7 linked regions of the Mus musculus genome follow. The protein of the gene in region 4 interacts with the protein of the main gene of each other region in a biochemical or structural test. Links are inferred from orthologs where the notes say so. Each region holds a gene or a part of one and is shown on either strand. Other genes may lie near its edges. The genes, in order: Ep300, Hmga1b, Pias4, Parp1, Macroh2a1, Erg and Casp3.

Evidence for each region.
Region 1: the proteins of Parp1 (region 4) and Ep300 form a complex in vitro, tested with the Homo sapiens proteins (2 studies listed by BioGRID, with this or other methods). The link is inferred for Mus musculus from reciprocal best matches to the Homo sapiens genes PARP1 and EP300.
Region 2: the proteins of Parp1 (region 4) and Hmga1b form a complex in vitro, tested with the Homo sapiens proteins (2 studies listed by BioGRID, with this or other methods). The link is inferred for Mus musculus from reciprocal best matches to the Homo sapiens genes PARP1 and HMGA1.
Region 3: of the proteins of Parp1 (region 4) and Pias4, one has a biochemical effect on the other in vitro, tested with the Homo sapiens proteins (3 studies listed by BioGRID and IntAct, with this or other methods). The link is inferred for Mus musculus from reciprocal best matches to the Homo sapiens genes PARP1 and PIAS4.
Region 5: the proteins of Parp1 (region 4) and Macroh2a1 form a complex in vitro, tested with the Homo sapiens proteins (2 studies listed by BioGRID). The link is inferred for Mus musculus from reciprocal best matches to the Homo sapiens genes PARP1 and MACROH2A1.
Region 6: the proteins of Parp1 (region 4) and Erg form a complex in vitro, tested with the Homo sapiens proteins (2 studies listed by BioGRID and IntAct). The link is inferred for Mus musculus from reciprocal best matches to the Homo sapiens genes PARP1 and ERG.
Region 7: of the proteins of Parp1 (region 4) and Casp3, one has a biochemical effect on the other in vitro, tested with the Homo sapiens proteins (9 studies listed by BioGRID and IntAct). The link is inferred for Mus musculus from reciprocal best matches to the Homo sapiens genes PARP1 and CASP3.

The regions. Positions count from the first base shown.
Region 1 is NC_000081.6:81,624,090-81,627,809, reverse strand, and holds part of Ep300 (histone acetyltransferase p300), read right to left. Parts: intron 3,286-3,720; coding exon 3,176-3,285; intron 1,473-3,175; coding exon 1,335-1,472; intron 708-1,334; coding exon 276-707; intron 1-275. UniProt on the Homo sapiens protein: Functions as a histone acetyltransferase and regulates transcription via chromatin remodeling. Acetylates all four core histones in nucleosomes. Histone acetylation gives an epigenetic tag for transcriptional activation.
Region 2 is NC_000077.6:120,761,267-120,764,910, reverse strand, and holds Hmga1b (high mobility group protein HMG-I/HMG-Y), read right to left. Parts: upstream 2,118-3,644; 5' UTR 2,023-2,117; coding exon 1,921-2,022; coding exon of another isoform or gene 1,888-1,920; coding exon 1,699-1,887; 3' UTR 519-1,698; downstream 1-518. UniProt on the Homo sapiens protein: HMG-I/Y bind preferentially to the minor groove of A+T rich regions in double-stranded DNA. It is suggested that these proteins could function in nucleosome phasing and in the 3'-end processing of mRNA transcripts.
Region 3 is NC_000076.6:81,164,809-81,169,140, forward strand, and holds the start of Pias4 (E3 SUMO-protein ligase PIAS4), read right to left. Parts: upstream 2,913-4,332; 5' UTR 2,904-2,912; coding exon 2,877-2,903; intron 1-2,876.
Region 4 is NC_000067.6:180,582,384-180,586,103, reverse strand, and holds part of Parp1 (poly [ADP-ribose] polymerase 1), read right to left. Parts: intron 3,347-3,720; coding exon 3,230-3,346; intron 2,375-3,229; coding exon 2,198-2,374; intron 262-2,197; coding exon 114-261; intron 1-113. UniProt on the Homo sapiens protein: Poly-ADP-ribosyltransferase that mediates poly-ADP-ribosylation of proteins and plays a key role in DNA repair.
Region 5 is NC_000079.6:56,132,563-56,136,844, forward strand, and holds the start of Macroh2a1 (core histone macro-H2A.1), read right to left. Parts: upstream 2,989-4,282; 5' UTR 2,784-2,988; intron 1-2,783. UniProt on the Homo sapiens protein: Variant histone H2A which replaces conventional H2A in a subset of nucleosomes where it represses transcription. Nucleosomes wrap and compact DNA into chromatin, limiting DNA accessibility to the cellular machineries which require DNA as a template.
Region 6 is NC_000082.6:95,376,848-95,380,567, forward strand, and holds part of Erg (transcriptional regulator ERG), read right to left. Parts: intron 3,425-3,720; coding exon 3,221-3,424; intron 2,346-3,220; coding exon 2,265-2,345; intron 526-2,264; coding exon 454-525; intron 1-453. UniProt on the Homo sapiens protein: Transcriptional regulator. May participate in transcriptional regulation through the recruitment of SETDB1 histone methyltransferase and subsequent modification of local chromatin structure.
Region 7 is NC_000074.6:46,615,793-46,620,273, reverse strand, and holds the start of Casp3 (caspase-3), read right to left. Parts: upstream 2,984-4,481; 5' UTR 2,773-2,983; intron 2,651-2,772; exon of another isoform or gene 2,496-2,650; intron 1-2,495. UniProt on the Homo sapiens protein: Thiol protease that acts as a major effector caspase involved in the execution phase of apoptosis. Following cleavage and activation by initiator caspases (CASP8, CASP9 and/or CASP10), mediates execution of apoptosis by catalyzing cleavage of many proteins.

The sequences.
Region 1 (3,720 bases), on a different chromosome or scaffold from region 4:
GAGGAGAACCGACTGCTACAGGTTGTCCTCTGACTTGTGTGTTTACGTGTAATTAGTCCCATAATGTTTTAGTTTAATTTCTCAGTACTGCAACTTAATCTGTTTCAAAATGTTTTTATGTATGTAAAGTATATTGTGATGACATACTTTTTTACCCTAGAACATAGAATAAAGCAAAATGGGAAGCAAAACTAAACAAAACCATGATAAAGAAAAACAAAAACATTGCTGGAGCTTAACTTGTTCTACAGACACTCCAATACACAGCTACTTACCGGAGTGGAAGGCTGAGGAGGCAGCAATGGTGCTGTTGGGGTAGGAACAGAAACTGCTGTGCTCTGCTGTGACCGAGGCTGTTGCTGGGACTGGTCAGCAGAAGGAGCAGCAGGAAGTGAAGGCTGCACTTGGGGAGGCAGATGTGTTGGTGGTGTAGGTGTTTGTCTAGATGAGGGATGCAGAGATGGGGGCTGTGGTCCAGGTGGTATGGCAGGAGGTGTAGGAACAGGTGTTGGAATTGCTGTTGCTGGTGGTGGTTGATTCCCTATGCTTGGGGGGGTATGATGAGGAGTAGGGGTGCGGCTAGGAACAGGAGAAGGTGAATTCTGATGAGCTTGTTGAGGCAGAGTAGGACAGTGAATGTGGCTCCCTTGAGACCCTGGAGGCATTATAGGAGAGTTCACTGGGCAAGAAGAACTGGACATTTGTGCCTGTGAAAACGAAAAATATATGATATCACAAAGGCAGAACATATAGTACTTAGTACACATGGTAAGTATAAATAAAAAACAGTATCTAACATTTTTCATTCTGAGACAAGGTCTTGCTATATAGACCTGGCTAGCTTTAACTAAGAGAGATCCATTCACCTGCCCCTGTCTCCAGAGCAAGGATTAAAAGTATGTATGCCTGAACATAATCAGTTTTCAAAGAAGGGGGAACATTGAAAATCCTACAGGATTAGGATTTGTGCATGCCTGACTAGAAAGCAGCCACAAGAGGAAATCAAACCCACTGGAATTGGAGTCACAGGCACCAGCTTGAACCACATGAGATCTAGTCTCAAAACTCCAAATAAATATTTCTAAGAAGTAAAGGTTTGTTCTCTGAGTTAAAGGCCAAGGTTAAATGGTGAGACCTGTCTTTGAACAAAAGAAAATATAGACTATTTCTCATGAAAATTGTTATCAGCAGGAAAGAATGTCTCTGCCTGCCAAGCCTGGAAATCTGCATACACTCTCAGACACCACAGAGAGGAAGAAGGAGAGTCGGGTACATACTATTGTCCTGTATGTGTGCTATATGTGCACATTAAGCATAATTTTAAATAAACATACTTGAGACACTGGTGCTTGACCGCTGGATGGAGCCAAAGGCATGTTTGTTACATTCATTCCTTGGGATGTGAACTGAGTCTGGGAGAGGAACTGGTTCTGGCCGGAAGCCTGCTGCATGCGAGGTCCATAGCCCATAGGCTGCAAATAAACAAAAAGAAAGAAACACAACAAACCATAGGTCACCAACTGCTTCATTATAATTATTTTCCAACTGTAATTAGCAATCACTCTTGCCCTACTATCCAGATTCTTGCATAGAGAAAAATAAAAGACAATAGCTTGGGTAAGAGAAGCCTAAGGTGTAAGTGAAAGAACTTGTAGTCATGTAAAAACTAATAGGAATAGGCTTGTAAGTACCAAACACAACCTCAAGAAAGAAGAAGGTGAAGGGACACAGGGCTCCAAGATATCTAGAACTCTGACAAGAAACAAACAACTTTTCTCTTCTAAAACTGCCTTACATGAGTCTAGACATTTAATAAAAGGAAGTATGGAGAAATAAGAAATTACAGTAATGTGAATGAGAAACCTCTCTGCACAGTCGTGGTCAGTTGAAAATCTGGTCTCCAGCTAGGGGCACTATTATGAAATCTTCAGCAAATATAGCCTTTTTGGACACTATGTCAGTAAGTGAGTGTTGAGTTTATAGACTTACAATCCCCTTTTACATCTCAAGATTTGTGCTCCTGCTGCCATACCTAACATGCCACTATACATGTCTAGTCCCCGGAATCATATGCCAAAATAAAACTCTTCCTTAAGATGCTTTTTGTCATGGTATTTTACCATAGCAATAGGAATATACCTTCTACTTTCCCTCTACCTCATTTTGTTTTTAAAAACATATTATTGCTACTTTATGATTCATTTTATGTGTATGATTTACTTACATGTACATATGTATATCACACACATTCCAGGTAGTCATGGAAGTCAGACTATGTTAACATACACCCTAGCTCTGTAGTCATGGATGTTGGTGAACCACCATATAACGTCACTGACCAACTGAGCCAGAATGCTATAGAAAAGCAACAACTCTCCGACTACCTGAGCTATTTACCCAGGTCCTCCACTTCATTTTCTCAGACAGGGCCTCCCATAGAACCCGGAGTTCACATTTTAGGCTGGGATGGACAGCCCGTGAGCTCTCAGAAATCTCCAACTGTAGCACTGGAGTTCAAAGTGTATGCCACCATAGCCTGGATTTTATGGGCTGATGGGGATCTAAGATTCAGTTGCTTATACTTTCACACCATCTCGCCAGCACAAATCAATTGTGTTGTATATTAATTCCTGACCCTCCAGTTCTTTCAGATTTTGTATTTAGCCAGGCATGATAACACACATCTTTAATCCTAGCACTCTGGAAGTGAGCAGTAACCTGATTTCTGACTTTGCAGTCAGACTGGTTTCCATGAAGAGTTCTAGGACAGTTAAGAGCTACATAGTGAAATCCTGGATGACTAACAACTAAACGTACTCTCATCTATAAAATACAGTCTACTTAACTGGGATTGGAGGTTATTTTATGGTGCTAACGAGACAACCAAGTCTTCTACGTGCTCTTTTACTGAGATACATTCTAAGCTATACTATGTAATATTAAAGGCCAAATATATGAAAATTACACTATTAAAAGAGGTCTCATGTGGTCAACATGTGTCAGAAATAAAAGGTACTTGTAACTAAGACTGAGAATCTTCACTTTGATCACTGAACACACATGGAAGAACATACATGCAAGAACTAAAACGTGTTCTGCTTAGACAGTAATGTTTCCTGAAGTTGTAACAAAGAAAAAAGAATTTTTTTTAAAGGGTAGAAAGGATAAAACTAACCGGATTGAGTGACCCAGACTGAGCCAATTGTCCATGGTGCTGAAGAGGAGAGGGTTGCCGGGGTCCAATAGGGGGCTGTGGCATATTCATCTGCCCAAATTGATTCAAACCTGTGAATATAATATTTCAATACTTTTGTTGAATTTAAGAACAAGACATAAGTTGATATGAGATTCTGCTCATTTTCTTAGGACCAACAAAGTAATATTGATATTCTGAATCACCAGCTAAACAAGGATATTATTTGTTGTATGTATGTATGCATGTACATATATATGTATGCATGTGTTTGTTTTTCTGGACAGGATCTTACTATGTAACCCTGGCTATCCTTGAACTCAGAGATCTGCTTGTCTCTGCCTCCTGAGTGCACCACCACTTGGCATTTTTTGGCTTATTATAGTTTTTTTCTTTGTGAGCTGTTGGCGTTCCTCTGGAATAGCAGACAGTGAGTGTACTTAAACCTTGTGCCAATTCTCTAGTCCAAAGCAAGATTATTATTGATAGTTTCTAAACTAAAATTTACAACATGCTAAATTGTTACT
Region 2 (3,644 bases), on a different chromosome or scaffold from region 4:
GTGTGCACACACATGTGCCTGTGAGAGGGTCTGACACAGCAGTGTAGCGGGAAGGAAGGGGCAACCTAAAGAAGGAATCTGAATTTTCAGCAATGAGATGTGGAGTCTTGAACCCAGGGCCTGAGAGCATACTAAGCCAACGGTGCCCCATCAGTGATGCTCGGTGATGTGAGCCACACCCTCGGCCCAGGGCAGTGAGATTGCTGGGTTTGGAATTATCTGGACAGAAGCATCAGCTTGGGACTTTTTGTTTTGTTGTTATAAATGAAGGTAGTGATGTGATCTAGCTGGAGCAGGCACACTGGATTCCAATGCCCAGGGACCCAAGAACCCACCATGCCTGCAGTGTGTCTAGAGAGTCCCCTGGCTGTTCCCCTCAATCTGTTCCTCCCAGGTGCCCCTCACCTGCTGCCCCGTACCAGCCAGGAACTCCGCCTTTGGCAGAGACACTGAGGCACCGTCTTTACTTTGAGGCAGGACTCTTGTAAATCTTTTTTTTTTTTTTTTTTTTTTTTGACTGTCCAGAAAAGGCTATTTGTTTTTTATTCAAGTAACTGCAAATAAGAAACCAGGGAGGAAGCCCCAGGCTGGGACAAATACTGGCCACCCCTCCCCCACAGAACAAGGGGAGGTGGCCCTACACCCTTTTCCCATCAAAGTGGGCCCCCATCCTCACTCTGCTGCAGCATCCACGGGGTGGGGCCCCATCTTCCTTAGTGTGGGGTAGGTAACCAGTCTGCTGCGCCCCAGCCCCCCTTCCCCTCGAGTGTATTGTGTGGGGGAGAGAATACAGGCAAATTCAGGAGGATGAACATCTGACGCTGGTAGCAGCAGCAATAGTGGGTATCTAAGAATGAACATGGAACAAAAAAAAAACAACACAACCGTCCAGAGGTAGTTTGTGAACAGAGGAGAAGATGGAACCAGAACCATGGGGGGCAGGGAGGAGCGAAAAGGAGGGGGCGGCAAGGCTAGCTCCTTAGTGCCCTGCGGGAGGAAGGAACAGCCTAGAGTGGACTGGGGGAGGCGTGTTGGTGCCCGTTTGCCTTTGGTGGAGGCGAGAACAGGCCCTTACTCTGGAGATGGGCGGTAACCCCATCTGTCTAGTCTCAGGTGAGAACATTAAAGTGGGTGGAGCCAACATCATCCTACTTCCTGTTGTCAAGGGGCTCAGCCAACCCAGTGCATGATCTCTGTAGGGTGGGGCAGGAGGGGCTGAGAAACCCACCCGGTGATACTTTGGTGGGGACATGCTGGGATCTAAGCATCCCCTGCCCTGACCACACTGCTGCTGCTAGGTCAGCCACTGGGCCTTGTCAGAGTGAGATGGGGCCGGGGCCCCTTAAGGCCAGGGAATGCTCCCAGGACCCTCTACGGGGAAGCCAGGAACAGCAGGGCAGAAGGGACCCGCAAAACAAAGCGCCCAGAGAGCCACGGCTCTGAGGGAGGTGCGCAGCAGGCCGGGCTGCGGCTAAATGGGAAGTTAGCCTTGTCAGGATGGGGCAGGTGTGTTCGGGAGGAGGGCACAGGGACTGAGCCGAATCCTGCTCCCTTGGGTGCTGCGGAGCAGAGCCTGCAGCTGGTGCCTGGTGCGGTAGTGTGCAGTGGGGGCGGGGAGGGGCCTGGGAGCAGGGCTTCCAGTCCCAGGGGACAGCTGCTCCTCAGTGGCTATGGAGCAGGCGGCACTGCGAGTGGTGATCACTGCTCCTCCTCAGAGGACTCCTGGGAGATGCCCTCCTCTTCCTCCTTCTCCAGTTTCTTGGGTCTGCCCCTTGGTTTCCTCCCTGGAGCTGTGGTGACTTTCCGGGTCTTGGCGGCGCCCTTATTCTTGCTTCCCTTTGGTCGGCCCCGAGGTCTCTTCGGAGTTGGCACTTCACTGGGCTCTTTCTGACTCCCGACCAGCGCCGTCCCAGGACTCACCGGAGGCTGCTTGCGTGGCCTGCCCCGGCCTCGCTTCTCAGTCCCATCCTTTTCCTGCTTGGAGGCCAGGGGCTGGCTGGACTTTGAGCCCGACTCGCTCATTCTCCTTCTCTATGTGTGGGGCAGCACACAGTGAGTGCCTTCTTGGAGCCGCGCCAACACCAGAAATAGCCCCGACTCGGAGTCCCAATTAGAGGCGACTCTTGTAAATCTAAGCATGGATTCTGGGGTTTCCTGCCCCAGTTGCAAACCCTGAGTACCTCTGTGCATCTCCTCTTCTCTGAGCAGAGACCTGGTTCTTTGGAGCCAGTTAGGAGTAATCAGAGAATATTGTGCACCTCAACCCGTGTCTGGCGATTGTTTGAGGTGTGCTGAGGGTCTCTTGTCTTGTGTGTCAGGGTTCATGGAACAAGTACTCACGATCCAGTGAGTCATAGCAGGTCACACGACATCTGGGCCGGGCAGGAGGCTCAGATGCCTCATGGACAGCCCTGGGGAGGAGGTGTGCTCAGACTGCCGCCTTTCCCTTGCTCAGTCCAGGCTCTGCACTGAGACCGTGTGAGTCGCTGAAAGGAGGCAGCTGTACTTCCAGTGCTCTATAGTGCAGGGACAGCAGTACCCTTCCCCTGAGCATTCCTCCGCACTGGTCAGAAGGGTGCTCTGGGACCTTCCTGTGGCTCAGGGGACAGCATACACAGTGGGGGCCCGGAGCCCAATCATTTGCTGCTGCCTGGCAGTTTCCTCATAGCTAACAGGGACAGATCATGCCTGCTCACTGTGTCCTTGATCCCAGTCTGAGCAAACCACCAAGTCCTATAGCCAACCTCCAGGTGGCACTGAATACTGGTGTCTGGCCTGATCTATCCAGTAAGATCAAAGCCCTTCCCCTTCTATGACAAAAGCTGTGGATTGTGACCAACCTGCTGTCTGGTGGCCATCGGAACTCCTGGGAAATGGTGGCCTTTCAGGGATGCCAGTTGGCCACCAGGCAGGAGGAAGTGGTTTACCAGGAAGGGAGCATCAAGCTCCAACGTCTTGGGAAGACAGTCATCTGCTAGCTTCGCCCTTAGGAGCGCATTTCTCCTAAGATGTCTTCACCCTCCACAGCTCCTGCTCTATCTCCTGTCACCTATGTTGTCTGAAGACTTCTCTATCCAGAGTCATGTGCTGAGCCCTAACTACAACATTATGTGAGGACTGTTGTATAACAGTTTCCTTTGAAATTAAAACACCCCATCCTGCATGGAAGTTCCTTAAGTAGGGATGCAAACAACTCATATAGTTTCAGGAAGTTCCTGAAACTGACCAATTTCACAAGATCCCTTGCTGTCAGGGTAAGCAACAAAAGCTGAGAGTCTCTCTCAGACAAACCAAGCAGCAAAGAAGAAAGACTGCAGATCAGAGCCCAGAAGACGCAAAAGTCAGCTGAGTTACCTACCTACTGTCGTCATCTCCACTCCGAGCCGGTGGTGACAAGAACGACACAGGCACCAAGTCGGGTTCATGCAGCAACATCTTTACTTCAGGCTCTTTCTTTTACAGCTCTCTTCCCCAGCAGCTTCTTCTTAGGGGAAGGGCTAAACTACTCACTACTCTACTACTACTCACGGCAAGGGCTAAAACTACTCTTATTCACTACTTCTGGCTTCTACCTATCTTGCGTGCGCCGGACTCGACCAGCAAGAATGACGCTGCAACAGGATCCTGCACACGTTTATTGGGAG
Region 3 (4,332 bases), on a different chromosome or scaffold from region 4:
GGGTCATCATCCCACTGGATGTTCACCTGCTGAGTCCCTACGAGGAAGCTCCAAAAAACACCAGAGACTTGGGGTGCCAGATACTTCAGCATGACTTAAGTACTCCCAGTATGACAGGGTGGGCTCAAGTTTGGCCTGGTGGCTACCAGGCTTCCCAGATCTCTAGAGGATTGTAGGGAAGCCCCAACTCTTCAGGGACTCTAGGGTATGCGGCCCTTGGGCACTCCCAATGTGGCCTTCACTTCCTACCGCATGCAGAGACAAACAGCACACAGCACATTTATACTCAAATCCTCACAACTCAGGAGAGAGGCACAGTGAGGTAGGTGCCCTCGAAGGTCCAGCTAAAGTCAGAGAGCTTTGCAGCTCCAATGGTAATCACGGAGTTCCACCACCCAGGACTGATGGCAAGCGTCTGAGCAGCCAGGTCGCTGCCATATGGTCTGGGTCAGGTTTCTCAGCAGCTGCTATGGCCTGAGCAGCCTGCTGGAGAACAGCAGGGCATGGGGACAGACGCACAGGAAGAAGCCTCCATCCATCACCCGGAGTGTATTTCCCGCCCTGGCACAGACTACCAGGGCCGAGTTTATAAACAGCATCAGCACCATGACTTCTGGAGATTCAGCTTGGGGTGTGATGTGGAGTGACAACCCAAACACAGAGAGAGAAGTGGCTGTACTTAGCTGTGACACTAGCCTAGGCTCTTTAGAAAGCTGAGATGCCCAACACAGGGGCAAAGGACGAAGGCTTGGCCCCAAGCCTGCTGCAGGCACCATTCACCCACAGGATGATGGAGCATGGTCCATTCATCCACAAACACCACAATCTCGCTTCCTGGAAACCCCAGGATGCCTCAAAAGACAGAATCTCTGGCCTGTTGGGACAGATTGGAGGAAAGCTACCAGAAAAGTGGAGGTATTGCTATCATTCTTAAAACACTGTGAGGGGCCATGACAGGAGTCCTCTGGACCATTTCAGAGTTTCAAAGAAGAGTCAAGTTCACCTAACTAAGGTGGAGGTGGAGGTCTAGGGGGCAGAGAGTCAAGTAGAGGTCATCAGCTTTTATTTAAAGAATCTAGACCGCAAAGAAGCAATCGCAGCCCTTCTCACTGAGGGGGGATGAAGGTACAGAGTCTTTGGCCTCACCCCAATGTTCTAGGATGGTACAAGGGGGACTTCAAGGAGTAAAACTGTGTTCCAGCCGGGCGTGGTGGCCCACACCTTTAATCCTAGCACTTGGGAGGCAGAGGCAGGCGATTTTCTGAATTCAAGGCCAGCCTGGTCTACAGAGTGAGTTCCAGGACAGCCAGGGCTACACAGAGAAACTCTTTCTCAAAAAAACCAAATAAAAAACAAAAAAAACTCCTGCGTTCCAGATCATAGTTTACATATCTCCATCTCAAAGTTCTGTTTCCCAAGAGAAAACCACTATGTAAATGGTGTAGATTTGGGGTGAGTAAATGGTGAGAAAGAGGGGTACACTTTTTTTTTTTTTTTTTTTTTGGTTTTTCAGGACAGGGCTTCTCTGTGTAGCCCTGGCTGTCCTGGAACTCACTCTGTAGATCAGGCTGGCCTTAAACTCAGAAATCCGCCTGCCTCTGCCTCCCGAGCACTGGGATTAAAGGCGTACGCCACCACGCCCAGCTGCACTTTTTTTTTTAAATGATTTTTTGAAACAGGATTTCTCTGTGGAGCCCTGGCTGTCCAGGAACTCACTTTGTAGACCATGTTGGCTTTAAACTCACAGAGATTTGCCTCCCTCTGTCTCCAGACCCCTGGGATTAAAGGTGTGCCACCATGCCTGGTGAGGACGACACCTTTTAATCAGATCCTCTAGAATAACCCTAAGGGTCCCAGTGGGGAGGGAAGGACCATGTCACAAGGCAGGCAGAAAAACGGGGGGGGGGGGGGCAAGTCTGAATCTTATGGGTGGGAAGATGCTTGAGGGGGACTGAGGAACTCCAATAACTCTGGAGGGACAAGTGTGCTGGAACCTTGACAGGGAGACAGAGCAGAACTGGATGTAGGCTAAGCCAAGCTGTACTTCAAGAGGGTTTAATGGGGACTCAAGTCAGGTCAGAGCCCTGGTACCTTAATGCAGAAATGGGGGAACAAGTCTAAACAATGTTCCCCTGGACTCAGTCAAGGTGTCCTGTGAGGATCAATCTGAGGAACACATAACAAGGAGGTGGTGGGTCCAGTATGCCAGGCAGCAGAGAAACTCTACAAGGCGATTCACAGGTTAGAGATGGGTTAGAGTGAGACAGGATCACTGGAGGCTGAAGTGAAGAGGTACCCCAGAGCTGACAAGTGGGGAGCGGGACTCGAGGGCTGAGTCTCTAAAATGAACTTGGGCACTTATAGTTGGCCTGAGTCTGGAGTCAGAAGGTGTCAGTCTGAGCCCCGAGAATCAGAGGACTTGTGGCAATCCCTGTAGACCTTCCCCATGCAGGCCTGTGGGGGAGGAAAGAGGGGGGGCACCCGGACCTGAGTCCTACTCGTTGCCTTGGAAACCTGATGGCGAAGTCACTTTGCATTCCTTCGGCTTCCCAGACCACAGAAGGACCCCCAGTTATGTCCCAACAGAGCTAACCCAAAGGAGAGGACAGTGCCTGCACCGGGAAAGCTGTGTAGCCACACTGTGGGAACCCCTGCTAGGGTCAGTAGAGAAGTGACAGTAGACGGCGGGGACACCCCAGGAGGGAGCTGGCGACCCCGCCCCCGGTCTCCCCGCCCCCCGCCCGCAGGTTCAGCCCGCGTCCCAGTCGCACCCTCGCCGCCCGCGCCGCCACACCCCGCCCTCCCAGCTCCCTGCGAGGAGCGGTCCGTACTCCGCCACCCGCCTGTCCCGGCCGGAGCCACTCTCGCTCACTCACTTTGGCCTCCACCAGCTCTGCCGCCATCTTGGCCACTAGCGTCCCCCGCGCCGGGAGGCCCCAGCCGTCGCGTCACGTGAGGGCCCTCGACTAAAGGGCGGAGCCTGCGCGAGAGCCAGTAAAAGCGAGTGCTGGCTCCTTCCTCCACGCCCCCGCGTCTGAGAGGCGGGAGGATGCATCACGCGCACGCGCCTACAGGAACCCCGCCCGAGGATCTGACCAATCACAACGGACAATTGCCAAATCCCGCCCCCCACGGTTATTTTTCAAGGCGCTGGCCGCTACCACGCCCACTCTGGGGAGGAGTCTGCTGCTTAAAGAAATAGCAGCACTTCCCGCCGCCTCATTTCTCTTGCTTTAGAGAACCGCTAAATTTTTGTGTTTATTTAGTGTGTACATATGTGAAAGTCACAAAACAGTCTAGGAAATTAGGTTTTCTCCTTCCACTGTGTAGGTAGCAGGGATGAACCAGCTAGTGCCTGAACCATATACCCTTTGCCCTGCTCCCTCTCTTACTGGCCCCACCTTTTCTGTAGAGTACAGGCCGAACCCCCTGCCTCGTTTTCAAATTGGCTTGCGGTGGCAACAGTTGTGGGTTTTTAAAAATTGTTTTTGTTTTTTGAGACAGGTTCACCATGTAGCCCTGGCTCTGTGGAACTCGCTTTGTAGACCAGACTGGCCTCAAACTCACTGAAATCCTCCTGCCCCTGCTTCCGGAGAACTGAGATTAAAGATGAACATAACCAAGCCCTGCGTAGCCTTGCTTCTTTAGGGCACAGAAGCCCCTCTAGCTGCATTTTTCCTTCTTTATTTGTTGGCTCAAGGCTACGCCCACTTTTCTGTGGTCTGTTTTATTTATATACTGGGGGAGACACGCAATTTTTGATCGTCCAAAGACAATCTAAGGGGTTTGTATATTTCCACAATATGGATTCAGGGAATCGAACTCAGGTCATCAGGTTTAGAGACTAACGCGAATAGGTGTGGGTGCGCGCGTTCCAAGCCCCCTAGGTGGACATCAGAGGACAATTTGCTGGAATTGCTTTCTCCTTTAACCAGGTGTCACAAAATGAGTTCTGTGGATCGAACTCCTAATAGACTTCTGGGCGATCACCATTTCAGGGGCCCTCCTTGGCTTTCTAACTACCCACAAGCCCCACCCAACCCCCAAATTTTCGAAGCTTGCACTGGGGCCACGCTCACTTCTAGCCCCGCTCTGGGTTTTTAAGCGAGAACGGCACCGCCCCTTGCTTCCGTTTCATTGGGAGGACTGGACCGCGCCCACGTGGGGAGGGTGGTCTTAAAGGTGTATGTGCTTCCTGCTCTGGTGCATTTTATGGCTCATGTTTACGGTTGCATTTTGATGAAGAGAAGGGTTGGGGATGAACAGAATGCGGCCGGGCAGGTGTCCCTGTTCCCTTCGAGCGGCAGCTGGCAGGTGTAGGGCTCGCATGGC
Region 4 (3,720 bases):
CTGAACTTGTCCCAAGGAATGTTAGCCCCACAGTACATGGATCACAGGACATCCTCCTCATTCTGCTATGTCCTTGCATGGCACCCCACCCATAATCCCTCCCGGAGCCATACCTGCTGGAGCAGAGGAGTTCACAGCTGTGGGTGCTGAGGTGACAGAGAGGGGCAGTGCCAGTGGTGCTGGGGCGCTGCTTTCTGGAGGGAATATTCGGTCCTGTTTTTTGACCTTTAACTTCTTGAGGTAGGATATTTCTCGGAATTCCTAAACAATGTTAAGTTTTAGTTTTAAAGACATTAGAGGTCTCTTAAAATAAACTTACAATAGATTAAGTGGGATTTGTCCTGTGAAATTAAATAATCTTTTAAAAATCCCTATAATTAAATAGGAAAGGCTTAAAGTTCCCAGGAAGAAAGCGTATATACTGTTGTTTTCACAGGGCTCATCCCTACATTTACATAATCCAGGTGCTACGGGTGACCTAGGTGAGAAACCTCACCCTTTAGGAATAAAATGCCAGCGAGGTGATCAGTTTGTGCTGCCAACCAAGGGATGGAGTTTGGCCCAGAGCCCACATGGTGGAAGAATCTCCCACAAGCTGTCCTCAGCCTCTACATGTGCCCCTCCTCAACTAAGGGTAATATTTTAAAACAAAATAAAAACCTTAGCTGACAACTTAGTGGGGGAAGCATCACTAGACCTAGGAGGCATACTGGGACCATCCTGTCCCCAAGTCACTTCTCTCAAGTGTCTATCATGTGCTATCAGGGGCTACCACATGGTTTAAAAAGCCCCCAAGAGTAGCACACTTAGGCCAGGGTTAGGGTAGGTGACAGACAAGTGCACACCTTTAATCTTACCACCTAGGAGGAAGAGGTAGGCAGATTTTTATAGGTTTGAGGCCAGCTTGGTCTACATAGTGAACTCTAAGACAGCTAGGACTACAAAGAGATAGAATGAACTATTATTAAACATCAAAATCCAAGGAACTACCCAGGTACAGGGGACCCTTACTACACGTTCCCCCAAGTAAAGGAAGCCAGCCCAACAGGCTGCACAGGACATTATAGAAGTGCTAGAAATAGGAAAACATGGAGCTGATGAAAAAAGATCAGTGGTTTCCAGAGGCTGGAAGTGGAAAGACAAAGAGAACATGGGAAGTCTTAGGGAACAGATGTTGTAAATGATGCTTTCCTGATGGGTACGTTCCATTCTATGTTTATCAGACCCTACAGACTGCACAACGCCAAGAGCGAGCCTTAATGTAACTTATGGGCTTTGGGTGATGTTGTGTCAGTGCAGGCTCATCAACTCCCAGGGTGCACCACTCTGATGCAGGGAATTTATGCTGCGGAGGGTATGCAGGATCCAAAACCAAGCAACAAAACACACCCAGTGACAGATCTTCACGTTTCCCAAAGGAGACAAGGCTAATAAGTCACTCACTCGTTAGGGAAGAGCCTGCTGTGAGCCCTCTTGCATTCACTGGGAATTAGTCATTATTATCATAATCATTAATTATTATCATAATTATTCTGAGACTTACAGTAGGCCTTGCCCTACGGAGGTTGGCCACTTGATGACGTCTGGTGAAGAGCAACCCCTGTGCTCGAGTCTCTACACAGAAGGGTAACTTTCCCAGCTGTGCCCACACTCAGTGAATGGTAAGCAAGGTGCCAGACACCTCAGACTTACCCTCACCAATGCCAGGTGGCATAAGCAGGTTAGATAGAGGATTTCTGCCCTCAAGAAAGCAGTCCTGTCTGAACTGAGTACAGCTAAGAGCCAGGAGGGGACAGCAAGCATCACCAGGCTGTAATGGATCTTGCAGCACCACCCCAAAAGACATAAGCAGGCAGGCTGCATCGATGGCTAATTCTGCTCAGTGTCATCTTACAACTGTCCTCACCAAAGGCAGTAACAGGCACACAATGCTATGTGAGGGAGGAAAGCAGACAGGCTGAGATTCTAAAGGTGAGAGAACAACAGGCAGGCTACAGAATGGCTATAGGCGGAGAAAGACTGGAAGGGAGGGTGGAATTACAGCAGTGAACAGAGAACTCTCTCCTCAGTACTGATATGAGAAAGGGTGAGAAACGCGCGGACTGTCACCTTGTGTGACATGCAGCATGGCCATGTCCAGAAGGTGGAGGGAGCCATGGTTTCCTGCTGACAGAGTCCAGGAAGCTCCCCACCTTACCTTTGGAGTTACCCATTCCTTTCGGCTAGGATTCTGTGTCTTGACCATGCACTTGGTCCAGGCAGTGACATCCCCAGTACAGTAATAAGCGTCGCTCTTAAAGACCAGCTGGCCTGAACACTCCTTGCAGGGCAGAAGGGCCCCAAACGCCATGCCGTCAGCAACTCTGTCCAAGATCTGAAGAAACATGCCAGAGACCAGGGCTCAGGAAAGGACAGTTACCAATGCAGATGGAGAAACTCTCACACAGGCTCTATCCCTGCAAAGAGGCTGTCTCTGGGCGCTACCTTAGCCCAGGTGCCAGGTGACAACACAGCCTGGGTTTTGTATGTTTTGAATCCTTATCTCCAAGTGAAGGGTCCTACCGCAAGCACTGCACCACACAAGTGGCCCAAGTAGGCACGGTGGGTTTAGCAGGCCTGGACATGTAGCAGCAGAGAGCAGCTCTCAGAAGAGTATGAACTAAATCCACGGCAAGGGCACCTGCCTACCTTGGTACTTCACCGGGTTCTAAACCAGGACAAACATGGCAATGTATGGTATGGCTGGGGTGGCCTACTGGCTGAAGGAGATGGTGACCATGATTGTTTTGAACAAAATCTCATTAAACATTGGATTTTCTCTGCTGCTCAGAGAGGCGGAGAAAGCACCTAGGAGACCACCCTCCTCAGCTGAGGACACCTCGCCATCTCAAAAACCCCTCACACTCAGTGTCCTGCCCTCTACTTCCGTACAGCCTTCTATCTGTCCTCTCGACTCCCTCTTACTGTTGTTTTCCTATGTTCACTTCCTGTCATCTGGCTGCTTGCCTACCTCTGACCTAAGGCTGACTTTACTTAATCCTACTTACAGTATACAGAAAGCTCCTGGATTAAAGGTGTTAGGGATGAGCCACACCACAACTAGAAACAGGTTTTTCCAAGCAAATGACATAATCTTGGAGGTGATCAAATATCCTGCAGCTCAGGATAAGCTCCACCGTCATGGAGCCTGGGTTTCCCTCCTGTGTGTCCCCACAGCAGGGGCACTCACCGCTGACTCTCCTGACGGCACCTGCTGCTGGTTGAAGATGAGCAGCTCCTTCAGGTCGTTGGTGGAACACGCTTTCTTCAGCTCGTCTTTGATATTCCAGATCAGCTCATTCTGAGCCTAAGGATGAGACCCCCAACTGAGATCAGTTCTTGTCAAAATCTTAACAGCTTTCTTAGCTTACATTTAAAAAGTTACATTCACTTATTAACGCGTGTACACTACTATGTTCCATAGGGCATGTTTAGAGATCCAAGAACGTGGGAGTTGATTGTCTCCTTCCACAATGCAAGGGCTTGATTTTATTGTTGCTGGTGTTCTGGGTTTTCTTTGGGAGGAGGGTCCTTTATTATGTAACTCACTATGTACATCAGGCTGACTGGCCTCTAACTCTGCCTCCCAAATGTTGGGATTAAAGATGTGTATTATGATACCCAGCCCCTAGTGTAGGCCTTGTAGATCAGGTCACTAGGGGTCAGTGAGGGGCTGCCTTG
Region 5 (4,282 bases), on a different chromosome or scaffold from region 4:
TGTGACTGGCTCGGAACAGGAACCAGTCCTTGTACTCTAGTCGGTCAGGAAGGATTTCTCCCCATCCATCAAACACTAAATCACAGAGTGAGCAGTCTACAACCAAAGGAGGGGCTGCACACAGAAGAGATTGGGGCACACAGACGGACGCTGCTCATGTCCCACTTCTAGTGGTGGAGGAAAAGCAAACCCCAAACCCAAGTACCACTCGCAAGCAGGAAACAGCTTGTAGCTGGGGCCCGACTGCACTGTACTTCCTGAGCTCTGTGGAGGGACGGGTCCTGCACTGTAAAGGCAGCTTTGCCACTATCTCCTCCCCCTCCACACCCCCGGTAAAGACTGTGCTATGACAGCTCCAAAAAAAAGTTTTTTTTAAAAAAGCCATTAGAAGAATATGTGACCTTAAGAGAGCAAGAGCCGAGCCAGGCCAAGTATTTGGAAGCTTCCAGGTATTTGCTACACAGGGATCCCAACTAAGAGTGAGAGTAGGCCTGACCACTGCTCTCTGTCTCCTCTCTTGCTCAAATCCCTTTGGGGGTTCCTGGCTGCTCTTAGGATCAGCTGTGGTTCTGATGGGATTCCGTGGAGTATCCCCTGTCCTCGCCTGACCCTGCTACCCTGAGCCTCTAGCTTTCCCTCACAGGTTATCTTCTACAACTGGCACACGTGGTTTCTCCGGCCTCGGTCACGTGCCCCCATCTGTCCTGCTTTGGCCAGCAAACTCCCCCCCTTGATCTTTCCAAGGCAGATGGAGCTCAACCCCACTTACACAACTGTCCCTCCTCTACTGATGTCCAGCCGGCTCTCCAGGGCAGGGCCTGGCATTTCTTGCTCATGATTATTTCCTAACCCCGACATAATCACCTTTGGGGACATACTAGTAAGACACCAACCAGGCAGGGCTGCTCTCAGCAAGCAAGTTATAGGACTCTTTGGAATGAAGAGTTGGCCCACTTAGCTGCACTTACAGGAGCTGTAGCAGGAGCCCCCGCCCCTAAGCCTACAGAACGAAGGTGGTGGGTTTAACAGGTAAGGGTCCACCTCAGCCCCACCCCTTCCCATTTCATATTTCATTAATGGGCTCTGAAAAGCCCATCAAAAGCCAAAGGCTACTGCAAACCTCTGAACATCACATACAGATTAGTAGTTTCTCTCTTTAAATAAATCTTTCATCGACTTGGGGCACCATCAGCTCCAAGCTTGTCCCTAGGGGAGGCAGAAATGGCTTTCTAGGACCTGAGAAAATGGCAGACTGAACTGTACCACTCCCTAAAGCTGGCCCACGTAGTAGAAAGTAAGCCAGTAAGGAAGTTATCATATGTGAATTTCCAGACCAATCTCAGTGTGATACAGTGTGAGCTCTCCCTTCCTGGTGAAAACTATGACCTAGCTCGTAGCAAAATGAGAAAGAGGGAAAGTTTAAAATCTCGGGAGACTCCTCATCCTTAAGGGGAAAAAATCCCCACAAGTTGAAAAGGTTGATCGAGTCAGAGGTTGTGTGTAAGCCCAGTTGCTGTTGCTCAATTGGTCAATTGTGGACAAGCTGTAGTAACTCCAGTAGCGAGTATGAGGGTGTCCATTTCAGAACTAACCGCAACTTTGACTGCACACCTTAAGGTGAACCTACAGGAAATTTAGTTGGGTTTGGACTTTTGTCTTCCACTCCAGCACAGACTTTCAAAACTGGGACTCCATGCTGCAGTGTCTACAAACAAAACACTTCCTCTCTTTTAACAGTAAAACCTCAAACCACAGAGGTGTCAGCAAGAGGGAAACCGAAGAGGAGAACCCCTCTAATTGTCTATTCTTCTAAGCTGTTTTATTAGATCGTTAAAATCTTACAAAGACTTCATAATGATTGTAATTGTTGGAGACGAGATCTGCCTCAACTGCTTGTTCAAAAGTTACACCGTCAAACCTAGAAAACACTTTCCCCTGCATTTCTTCAAAGACTCTTTCAAGCAATCTTCTGCCCAGCAGTGAGATATCGGTGGTCTCTGCAGGAGTGGGCGCTGGGCTCAGCATCTTGCACACCTGTTGTCAGGTGACACCGTCAGCAGCATCCCGCGCCTCCCATCTCTACTCACCCCACCCCCAGAGACTCTCAGCTGTCCCTCTGCGCGCGGGGAGCCTCCAGTCTTCCAGAGTCACCTTAAAAATAACACCTCCCCAGCACAAAGCAAACAAAAGGCGAGCGAGAGCCGCGGGGCTTCCATAGCTCCTCTCCAGCCCGCCCCGGCCTGGGATTCCGTCCGCGAGTGGTCCCCAGGCCTCGCCTGCTCAGGCCTCGCGGCGGGTGCCCCACCAGCCGGCCTCACAACGGCCTGTGGCTCGCGCCCCACTTTATTGTGCCCGGGAGGGCACGCGCGGGCCGGCGGCGCACGAGCAAGTAAACTCTGAGCACAGCAGCTCCGGGCCCGGGCGGAACGGCTGGTCACGGCCTCCGGGCCTCGGTGCCCTCGGGCCCACGCCATCCCTGGCTCTCCCTCCCGGGCAGAGGGGGAGACCCGATCAGCCCCTTGCCCACAAAGCGCCCCGGCGGGGGTAGGGGTGCGTCTCCGAGCGAAGTTGGTTTCCGGGTTTGCTTTCCGAACAAAACCATCCGGACCCGCACGCTGCCCCGGGCAGGGCCTTGGCGGACTCCGGGCGGCCCGAGGTCCGAGGGTAACCGCCGGAGCTTCCCGGGCGCCAGGCAGTGCCCCGCGCGCGGCAGCAGTCGGGCGCGCGGGGCCCAGACGGGGCGGACCGGCAGCCTGCGGCTCCGAGGCCCGCGCGGCACTTACCGGGCGGCTGCACGGTGAGGGGCCCGAGGCCGGTCGGCCGCTTGCGCCGGTCCGCTCCGCACTCCTGCCTGGCCGCCCACGCCTCCTCGCTTCCCGCCCGCGCGTCCCGCGCTCGCGCCCTCCGCCCGGCTCCGCTGGAACCAGTGAACTGGAACCACTCGCGGCGGCCCCGGGATTCCCACAATGCACAGCGCGCCGCTCGTCACATCCCTTCCCGGCCTCGCGCGTCCGGCCACCCCTCCCCGCGCCACTCGGCGCCCCGGCCTTGACCCCGGCCTGCCTCGGGCCGCGGACGCCAACGACGCCAGCCTCGGTTGTACCCAGGCCTTGGTGCTCTGCGCCGCCCCCCCCCCCCGCCCCCAGGCATCGGTCTGCGCGCGGGAGCTGCAGGGGTCCGGCCTCAGAAAGGTGCCTGTAGGTAGCGCGGCTCTGCAAGCGTCTGCTGTGAGCACCTACTGTGTGTCTGGTGTCCCCTTGTCCCCAGTAGCCTCGTCCACAAAGAGGGAGGGTAGAACAATTGCTGTGACCAGGGATCTTCTTCTGCCCGGTCAGCACCAACTCCGCGCCTCAATCCAGCCTCCTGACTTTTTAAATACAAGGCAGCTGTGTGCCCCAAGATCAGCTACCGTAGCTCAACTCCCTTGATCAGTGGGATTCTACAGAGCTGGCCTCAAAGTCTGGTCTTGCTTTGCTCGTGGAATCGGTTAGCTACCTCCACCAAGCAAACGTTTGTTGACTACTGGCTCCAAGTGGAGACTTACTGATTTAAACAGTTGATACTTTTATTACATATTAAGGTGGTGGGGTGGGTGTCAGCCAGAGAAAGGGCAGCAACATCTATCCACAAAACTAAAGACTCTCCTTCAGGCCCAGGCTACACTAGAATATTAGCAGGTTTTTGGTTTGTGACCCTTTAACAGCTGGGCCATCTCTCCAACCCTAGCGCATTTTATAGACACAAAAAGCATTGTCTAAAGCCCCTGGCCCATGCATTCATTATTTCAAGTAAATATCTGGGACATTCTGCACACCATGCATAAACTTGAGTGTAGTTGTGAAATGGTGAACAGAACTGGCAACTCCCACCCCACCCCACTCCACCCTACCCCCATCCCGCTTTCCTGGAGCTTACAGTCTGGTGGGAAAAGAAAGGCAAGAGACAAAGGAATCACACATTACAGAGTATAAATTCTCAGAGGAAACAAGGTAGGAAAAAAAAATCCTAGGAAAGGTAAGCAGGGGTGTATTTGGTAGTCTTGAGGCTGAAGAGATGGATGGCTCCGTGTATAACAGCACTTCGTGCTCTTGCAGAGGGCCAGGATTCTGTTCCCAGGATTCATTTGTGTGGTCCTGATAACTCCACTGGGGGGGGGGGGGGGGCTCCAGTGCACTCTTCTGACATCCATGAATATCAGGCACCACGGGGTGCACATACACACAAGTAGGCAAAACACTCAAACACACAGAATAAAGTAAGTCCATCTAACCTTTTAAAAAGA
Region 6 (3,720 bases), on a different chromosome or scaffold from region 4:
ATAAAGTATGACGCCGATGTAAATATTATATGCCAGATGCTTCTCCTCTGAAAAATGGCTTCTCGCGTAGTGATGAGAATCAGTCATCAGCGATTTGGGAATTGCTTTCTCACCCAAAAGGACAGACTGCTCATCAATCCTCCCCTTAACTGAGAGTGCAAGGGGTTCCTATCCTAGGCATTGGCTCAAACACTTGAAACTACTACTTAAGGCCCTGATCTGTTTCTGATTTCTGCTGTATTCATAGTCCACAGTAGAGGAGCCAAGCTGTGGACTCTGAATACAGCATCTCTGAATCTCAACTGCCCTTTGACAGGGCCAGGGAAAAGACTGGCTATATGCACTGCCTGTCAGGTCCAGAGCATGCTCCTGGGGTCACGGGCTGGGGTCCTGGGCCTAAGCAGGGCATCTGGGAGTCTCTCAATGAAGCAATCACATAGGGTGTTAGCATACCTGGCCTAGTTGTAATTCTTTGCGTAGCTTCGGGATATACTGAAGTATTTGGGAAAATAAAAGCTGCACCCCCTGCAGACAAAAGGAAAGACAAAGTGTGAAGGTCCTTTGTGGTGACTTTCAGCTTGAGCAACAGCACCTCGCCCTGTGATGTCAGGGGGTGGGGGGGCCTTGAAACTTCAGTGGAGCTCATGGCAAACAGGAGCTCTGCTCAGACAGGAGTGCATCTCCCTCATGCACGAAATATTATGCTGCGTTTATTTATTATTTCTTTGTGGGCTTCTTGACAGAGCCCCACCCGTGTCCCACTGGCAATCTTAGTTTATTTAAAATTATCTGTGGCACAGATATTATTATATTTATTGCCAATTGTATATGATTCACAAACTATTTGAACAGATTTTGGAAAGAGGTGTACACACGTTGCCTAAGACTACATGGACTGTATTAAAAAATCAATCCACCCCCCCACTCAAATACACGATTCTCCGTATTTTCCTCAACCAATGGTCACCTCCCCAGATGAGGAGGTTTCCGCTTTGACATTCAGCCCTTTAGAAATTTATCATCCTTGTCCTTTGATTGTCTCTATATTTGGCTATAATTTTTTTAAAAATCAATGAACTCTGAACTTTTGCGGAATTTTTAGTCACTGTTAAAGAATTTCTAAATGCATGCAATGTTAAGAGCCTGTGAGGCTCTAGGGTGTTTCCTGAGACAGGTTGATTCTACCAAGTTCTTTGCTAATTTTGGCCACAAGACCATTAGCATATTCATATGTTCGATACAGATAGAGAAGGGGGAGCTTAGAACACCTCACGTCACGTTTAAGAAAAGCACACTGGTTTTGAATACTGAAGACCAAGGTAAACCAGCTACCTATTACAAGTGAGCAGACTGAGGCTCAATTCATAAGATGCTGGACATTTAAAAGTAAAAGGAGAATGACTGGTAAGCGGCTATCTTACTCAGTTAGGGCAAGCAGTGGTTGGGCTCGCTTGCTTGCAAGGGATAAGAGGTTCCCCACCTCCCCTGATGCTTTCATCCCTAGCTGGGGGCTGGTAGGGTGTGGCAAGAAGTGGTCCTTGGCTAATCCAGTGGGTGATCAGCAAATGGCCTTGCATCCACCAGTGAGGCCATCAGGACAGGAGGTAGATGTGTACTTGGAACATAGGTAACACGTTTATACAAAGAGAACCCCAAATACACTGAGAGATGGAGGGAAGGTGAATCAGGACCAAGTGCCTTGTCCAGCCCTGGAAGGCTCGAGCATACGATAGACACAAGTGTAGATAGAACCTGTAGTTAGAGACAGGAAGGCAGGTGCTGGGCCAGGGGCCAGCTGTGTATTCTCCGAAATGGCAGAAGAGTTTCCCTCAGGTTTATATAAAGTGTGATATATTCCTCCCACTGCCCTTTGCAAACATACAAATCTGTGCAGAATATAAAACCAAGGCAAGTCCAACACCCAGAGCTGTCTGTAAAATACCAAGGAGTCCCAGAAGGCATTGCTTTAGGAAGGAAAATGGAGAGCAATAGGTCTGGAGGCCATTTATACTAGAGAGCTTTTGGTCTCCATAGGCAATGATGCTGGTGCACTGGGGCATGCTGGGGGATCAGAATGATAGTTAAAAAAACAATCCTTTCTCGGCCTACGGGGTTATGGTGGAAATAATGGGAACTGTTCAGGTACCCAATGGCTTCGCTCCCACATCTGTGTTCTAACCCCTAACCTGTGAGTTTCACTTTAAATCATGCACCTGTAGGTAGGAACCTAAGCATGCCCTGGGGATCAGAGGGGCTGGCATTACCTGTGTTTCTGGCATGCATTAACCGTGGAGAGTTTTGTAAAGCCTTATCAACGTCATCGGAAGTCAGATGTGGAAGGGGAGCTGCAAAACAAGACACAGAGCAGCACTGAGATAAAGAGATGGAGAACAAGCTTCCTAGAAAGAGAAATGGGCCGAGCAGTGGTGGCGCGCATGCCTTTAATCTTAGGAGGCAGAGGCAGGCTGATTTCTGAGTTCGAGGCCAGCCTGGTCTACTGAGTGAGTTCCAGGACTGCCAGGGCTACACAGAGAAACCCTGTCTTGAAAAAAAAAATGGAATTAAAAGGAAAAAAGAAGAAAATATATACACCTCCTGCCATAGCACGGGGGGAGGGGAGGCTGCTAGAACCATCTAAACCCTGTGATATAGGAAATACCTTAAACACCAAATGGGATGGCCCCACACAGGAGAGAAGTGTATGGGTGCCAGGCAACAACAGCAAGGGAGATGCGCCACCCTGTTAAAGTTGGGATCCTTTCAGACCATGCTCAGAGTTGTCAGAGTTAGATCACGCAGCAGTCCTTCAGGCTCACGCCACTGCTGACTAACGCACCACCCATTCTCTCCATAGAAAATGGAAAAAAAAACCTCCCCTTCTGTGGTCAGGTTGGATGGGAGGAGGGGCTTCGTGCCGCTCAGCAGAATTAACTAAGCACATCCCCAGCAAGAAGGAGTCCTTTCTGCCTTCCAATTTGGGCACCATGGAAAGTAGTGAAGGTGGCCACTTCTCTGCCATGTTCCATCGTCCTGGTCTTAGGAACCCACGTTCCATCGTCCTGGTCTTAGGAACCCAGGAGAGACTGCGTTGTTCATCTACCTCATGAAGTTCCACACACTGACCTGTGTGGTCCTCTCAGGTCAGACAAGAGGATCCCGGGACCACCCTGTCTGAACCCACTGAGGTTGGGTCTGCAGCCATGGTGACAGCTATACTTACTCTCTCTGAGGTAGTGGAGATGTGAGAGAAGAATGTCGGCATTGTAGCTCGGCGTGAGCCGCTGGAAGTCATCCTTTGTCATCTTGCACAGCTCCTTCCCATCGATATTCTGAAATAGTAAGACGTCCACATCGAGGAGGCCATATTCTTTCACCGCCCACTCCAGCCACTGTCGGACATGGTCTGTGCTCCACAGAGTAGGATCTAAAAGGGGAGGAAGGCAGACGCCATCAACTCCTAAAGGCAAATCTGAGGGCAGCCCAGTCAGCCCCAGCGTAGGACCCCCCCCTAACCTCCCACCCCCACCCTCTCCAGACTGCAAAAGCCTGAGGCCAAGCTCAGCGAGTCACAGCAAGACAAACAGAATCCTGGGGGGTGACCTAAAAGAGCCGGGCCCATACAGATCTCCATCATCCAGGTTGAAGACAATCTGGTCTGCTTCCACTGTGGCTCAGTTTCTAGTAGAGATCTGGTTTTTTTTTTTGTTGTTTGTTTTGTTG
Region 7 (4,481 bases), on a different chromosome or scaffold from region 4:
CAAGCTAGAAAAAAATGTGATGCTTACTATCTGCAAAGGGTCTGTCTTGTCCTCTCCCAAGCGAAACCCTGAAGAGGATAAAACTATACGCTCTTAGGGATGTGTAAGAATTACTGACCTGTTTGAAAACAATTTGTTGTTGTTGAAATAAAAGTATAGAGTGGAAGATCCTTGATGTCTTTTATAAAAATTACAGATAACTATGTAATCTACTGATTATCAACTGTATGAAGATGTTTCATTAAACCCTGAGCGTATGAAGTAGTGGAAGAGGCAGACTCTACCCCTATCCAGAGCTGTTATGTATGTTCACTGGCATTTAAAAACAGCAGCAAGGTAGACATTAAGCAGTCCATGTTCTGTTCTTACTAGATAATTTCATTGTACTTTAGCAGAATGAAGACCCTCCCCAGGTAATATTGAAGGCCAAAACAAAGAGACCAGAACAAGGACTATTATGTAGAATGTCACACATACTATTTCATCTGATCTTTACACAACCCTCTGAGCAATATAGATTATGCTTTATTTATGAAGAAGCTGGTAGGCCCCGGGCTCCTGGCCTCAGACAGTCAGATGATGATGATGGAATACCCTTTCCTCTCCAAACTTTTTTTAATCTGTTAAATGACTATATATAAAACAGTACTCAAGAATGTAAGAATTTCCACATCGTATTCTACCTCTATCACTGGGGTAGAACTTTAATATTATCTAACACGAAGATCAGAACTAATGCAATGTGTTTGAAGAAAAGACTGTGTTGTAACTTTAGAAAGCGCATGAAGTGAATGTGTTGCTAGGTTTGAAACCATAGAGTGGCCCTGGACCCGCTTCTATCAGATAAAGATACAGAATTCCTACTTAAAACAGCAGGAGGCAGAACCTTTCTGCAGGACCACAAAAGCAACCTGATTTAATTAGGTGCAGGATTTCACTTGTTACTTTGTAGCAGTTCGATGGCTACATTTCAATAAACTTCCACTCACTAAAAAAACACCTTCTCACTTTCCAAAAGCCTTAGTCTACTGGACAGCAAAACAAAGCCATTCTTTAAAGCTTCAACACCAGGTTGTCACAGGGTTCTACACTCCATACTTAGGGCTCCTGCCTGTGGCCACCATTAACATATCCAAAGTAACTTCCCAAAGGCTGGCCAAACCCCCAGCTTAGCATCTCCTCTGCTATTGTGTATACTCTTACTGTAACGATGGCCCCACATTTCCCACCCACCCCAATGGGTTGAGTAGTCACTTGTGGAAAAAAAAAAGCCAGTAAGGAAGGGAGCCAAGCTAAAGTTCGAGCCTACTGTTGTTTGCTCACAGTTCGGTAGGCAAACAATAAACAAGCAAAAGTAGAGGATATGACACGGCTGCTTTCAGGAAATGCCTGCCGCAAAGGGAGGAATGGGAAGATTCAGCTAGGAATTGCTAACTAAGGGAAACCTCCGTAGCAGCTCCTGTTCATAAGCTAATGTCTCAGGGGGAGAAAAGGTGAGCCAGTGGACTCAGAGGGCTGGAAAGAAAACCCGAAAAGGACACAGTATCCAATATTGCCTGGAGAGCTTCTTCATTCTGCTAAAAAGGGGGGGGGGCGGGGGGAGACAGCCAAGACCCAGGGTTTGGCTTCGCTAACCCGGTTTAGAGGATACGGTTTTACACTTAAGCCTTCAGGGTAAACATGAACATCTAGAAAACTGTTTTTGTTCGTGTCTTAAAGAGAGCACTGGAGAGGGGTCTTGGGCGGGAGACAGAGACCTGCAAGGAGGCTGCTTCAGTTCCCTGAGGTGGGCACAAGTCTGGCAGACACGTAGAAAGTCCACAAGACTCCGAAGAGGGGCCAGGTACAAATCTGTCAGACTCGTAGGTCTACAAGGCTCGGGGACTAACGGCGGAAGAAGTTGGGTCCACAAGAGGTGCCTGAGAAGGACGTTTCCTGGGTGACTCAACGGAGAATGAGGTAAAGACCCTGCTGTTCAAGTCGAACTTCACAGACTAATTAATAAGCGCGAAGAAGGGACAGTAACCGAGCATGGCTCAAGAGATGTCAATGCAAGCTCCTACAGTGACTTTGACCAACAAAGGAATGAGCTGGAGTATTCAAGGAGTAATGCTTAAAATCAGCTCTCCGCAAGAACCAAAAATCACAGTGCACTGGAGAAAACTAAAGGTGGAGATCAAATGCTCTTGTAACAGAGGGAGGCTGGGTCACTTAGAGCCGCCACAAGGTCAGCATCAGCCTAGCTTCCAGGCCCCAGGGCAGAACTTCCCCTATCCATCCTCTGCTACCGAGTCCACACCTCGGCCTGCAGATCCAGGATCCCGCCACCTCCCGCCACTCGGCTTCCAGGTTCACCCCCACACTATGGCCTCACCCCCTCCCGCCCCTGAAGCTCTGTACCCCGGGCGATCTCCAGATACCCCCCTGACTCCGCCTTTAAGCCTCAGCGCGGCCCGTGTGCCATGCTCGAGGGGTCTGAACCCGCTCCGGCTCACCCAGGTTTAGGGACACCGCACCGGCTCACCCAGGTTTAGGGACACCGGTTTGGCCTCCCGGGTCTGGGTTCTCAGCTCGGGATCGCGCTCCCGGCGCTGTTTCCAGCTTCTCTGCCTTCAGTGTTTGCCTGAGCAAGCCTGGAGGCAACACAAAGGATCCTCCGCCCAGATTGCCCGTTTCCCCCGCCTCCTCCAAGGAGCTGCAGACCCGCCAAAAGAGCGCCAGCTCCGGGGGACAACACAGGCCTTCGAAGGCGCGAGAGCAGCAGACACTCACCGTACCGTTCCAAGCTCCCCGCCGCAGGACACTGCGCTTTGATCCCACCAGCACCAACACTGCAACTGCAGCAGCAGCAGCAGCAACAGCAGACTACCGCCGGTCACGCCCCACGCCACGCCCCTTCTCTACCTCCCCGCCCCATCCCCCCTCACACACCCCCCAACACCTCATCTCGCACACGCCAGTCGCGATTGGTGGTTTCAGCCCCGACTGAGCCCCGTCTCGTAGCGCAGGCCCCGCCCACCCAGGGCAAGCCTAGGGCCCCGCCCCCTCCGGCTCCGCCCCCTCGCGCGGGTTTCAAGCTCTGGTTCCCGCCATCTCTGGCTCCGCCAGCTGCCGCCTCCGGCCGACTTGCGCCACTTGAGGTAAATTTTAGAGAGGTCTTTCGGCCACGCCTGATTCCGGGGGCGCCAAGATGGGCGTCTAGGGAGGCGCCTCTGCCAGTCAGAACTCTGGCAGGAGAAAATAGAGCTGTGCCCCGCACTCGGTAATTCTACTTCCTCTCAATTGCACCGAGGCCTTTCTTCACTTCCGTCCACCTCTTGCTCCCTCAGTGAGAGGTCCTGACTACCTTACTGAAATCTCTGACTGGTTTACGTCCTATTTCATTCAGACTCTGACTCTGGGAAGTGGGTTTTGTTTTGTTTTGTTTTTGCATAATATACGAAAACACGAGCACAGCGATCAGCATCGAATTTCAGGGGCCCAGAATATTCTTAAGGACAAATGTACTCCAGAGAGCAGCCTCTTGCCTTCACCGCCTTTGCTTCGTTGGATGTAAGGGACTGACGTACACGTAGCCACACAGATGTCTACCGTTCGTTGCGTGTGGAATTCAAGCTCTTGCATTTCCATAATACATTTTTTATTTTTTCCAGTTCCATCAAAGGCTTTAAAAGGATAAGTGGACGGGCAGTGGTGGTGCACGCCTTTAATCCCAGCACTTGGGAGGCAGAGGCAGGTAGATTTCTGAGTTCGAGGCCAGCCTGGTCTACAGAGTGAGTTCCAGGACAGCCAGGGCTACACAGAGAAACCCTGTCTTGGGGGGGAAAAAAAAAGAAAGAAAAAGATAAGTGGTTTGCTCTCATGAAGAGCCATAGTGGTTAAATGTAGATTCCAGAAACAAATTGATCTATCATTATCCCTCCCAAAGTAAGTTAGAATCAGCCATTTTCTGTTGGACTTTAGCAGTAGGATGCATTCAACCCTCGCAGTGCATCGTGGAGGCTGTAGTTCACAAGGAAGGGTCTAATTGAGAAACCCCTTGTGCCCGGACCCCTCCCTGTGCTAAACGTTCTTAACAAAGTGATACCTTAGATAAGGTATCCTCAGCAGTTTCCTGCCGTTAATGTTGACTTCATCTAGAGAAGTTCGTTAGAGCAAAACATCTGGAGGTGATAGTTTTCATCTAAGCCCTGTAATTTCTCCTCACTGTGGGGACTCAGAGGGACCTGAAGCCGCCCTGTAAATGGGGACCCAGAGGGACCTGAAGCCGTTCTGGGCCTCAAGAGAGAAAGAATTCATGAAAAGCAATGTGACTGCTTTCCAGGAGCTGGAGTAAGATGGCTTTCTGAAGTGATCTAAAAGCGGGGCGTGGTCACTCTCTTCCATTTGGCGAGAAAACTGAACTAGAAGTATAATAGGTAAACGTTTTAGGGCCTACATCTGCAAGAAGACTTAGCCTTCATAAGCTAAATTACTATAGC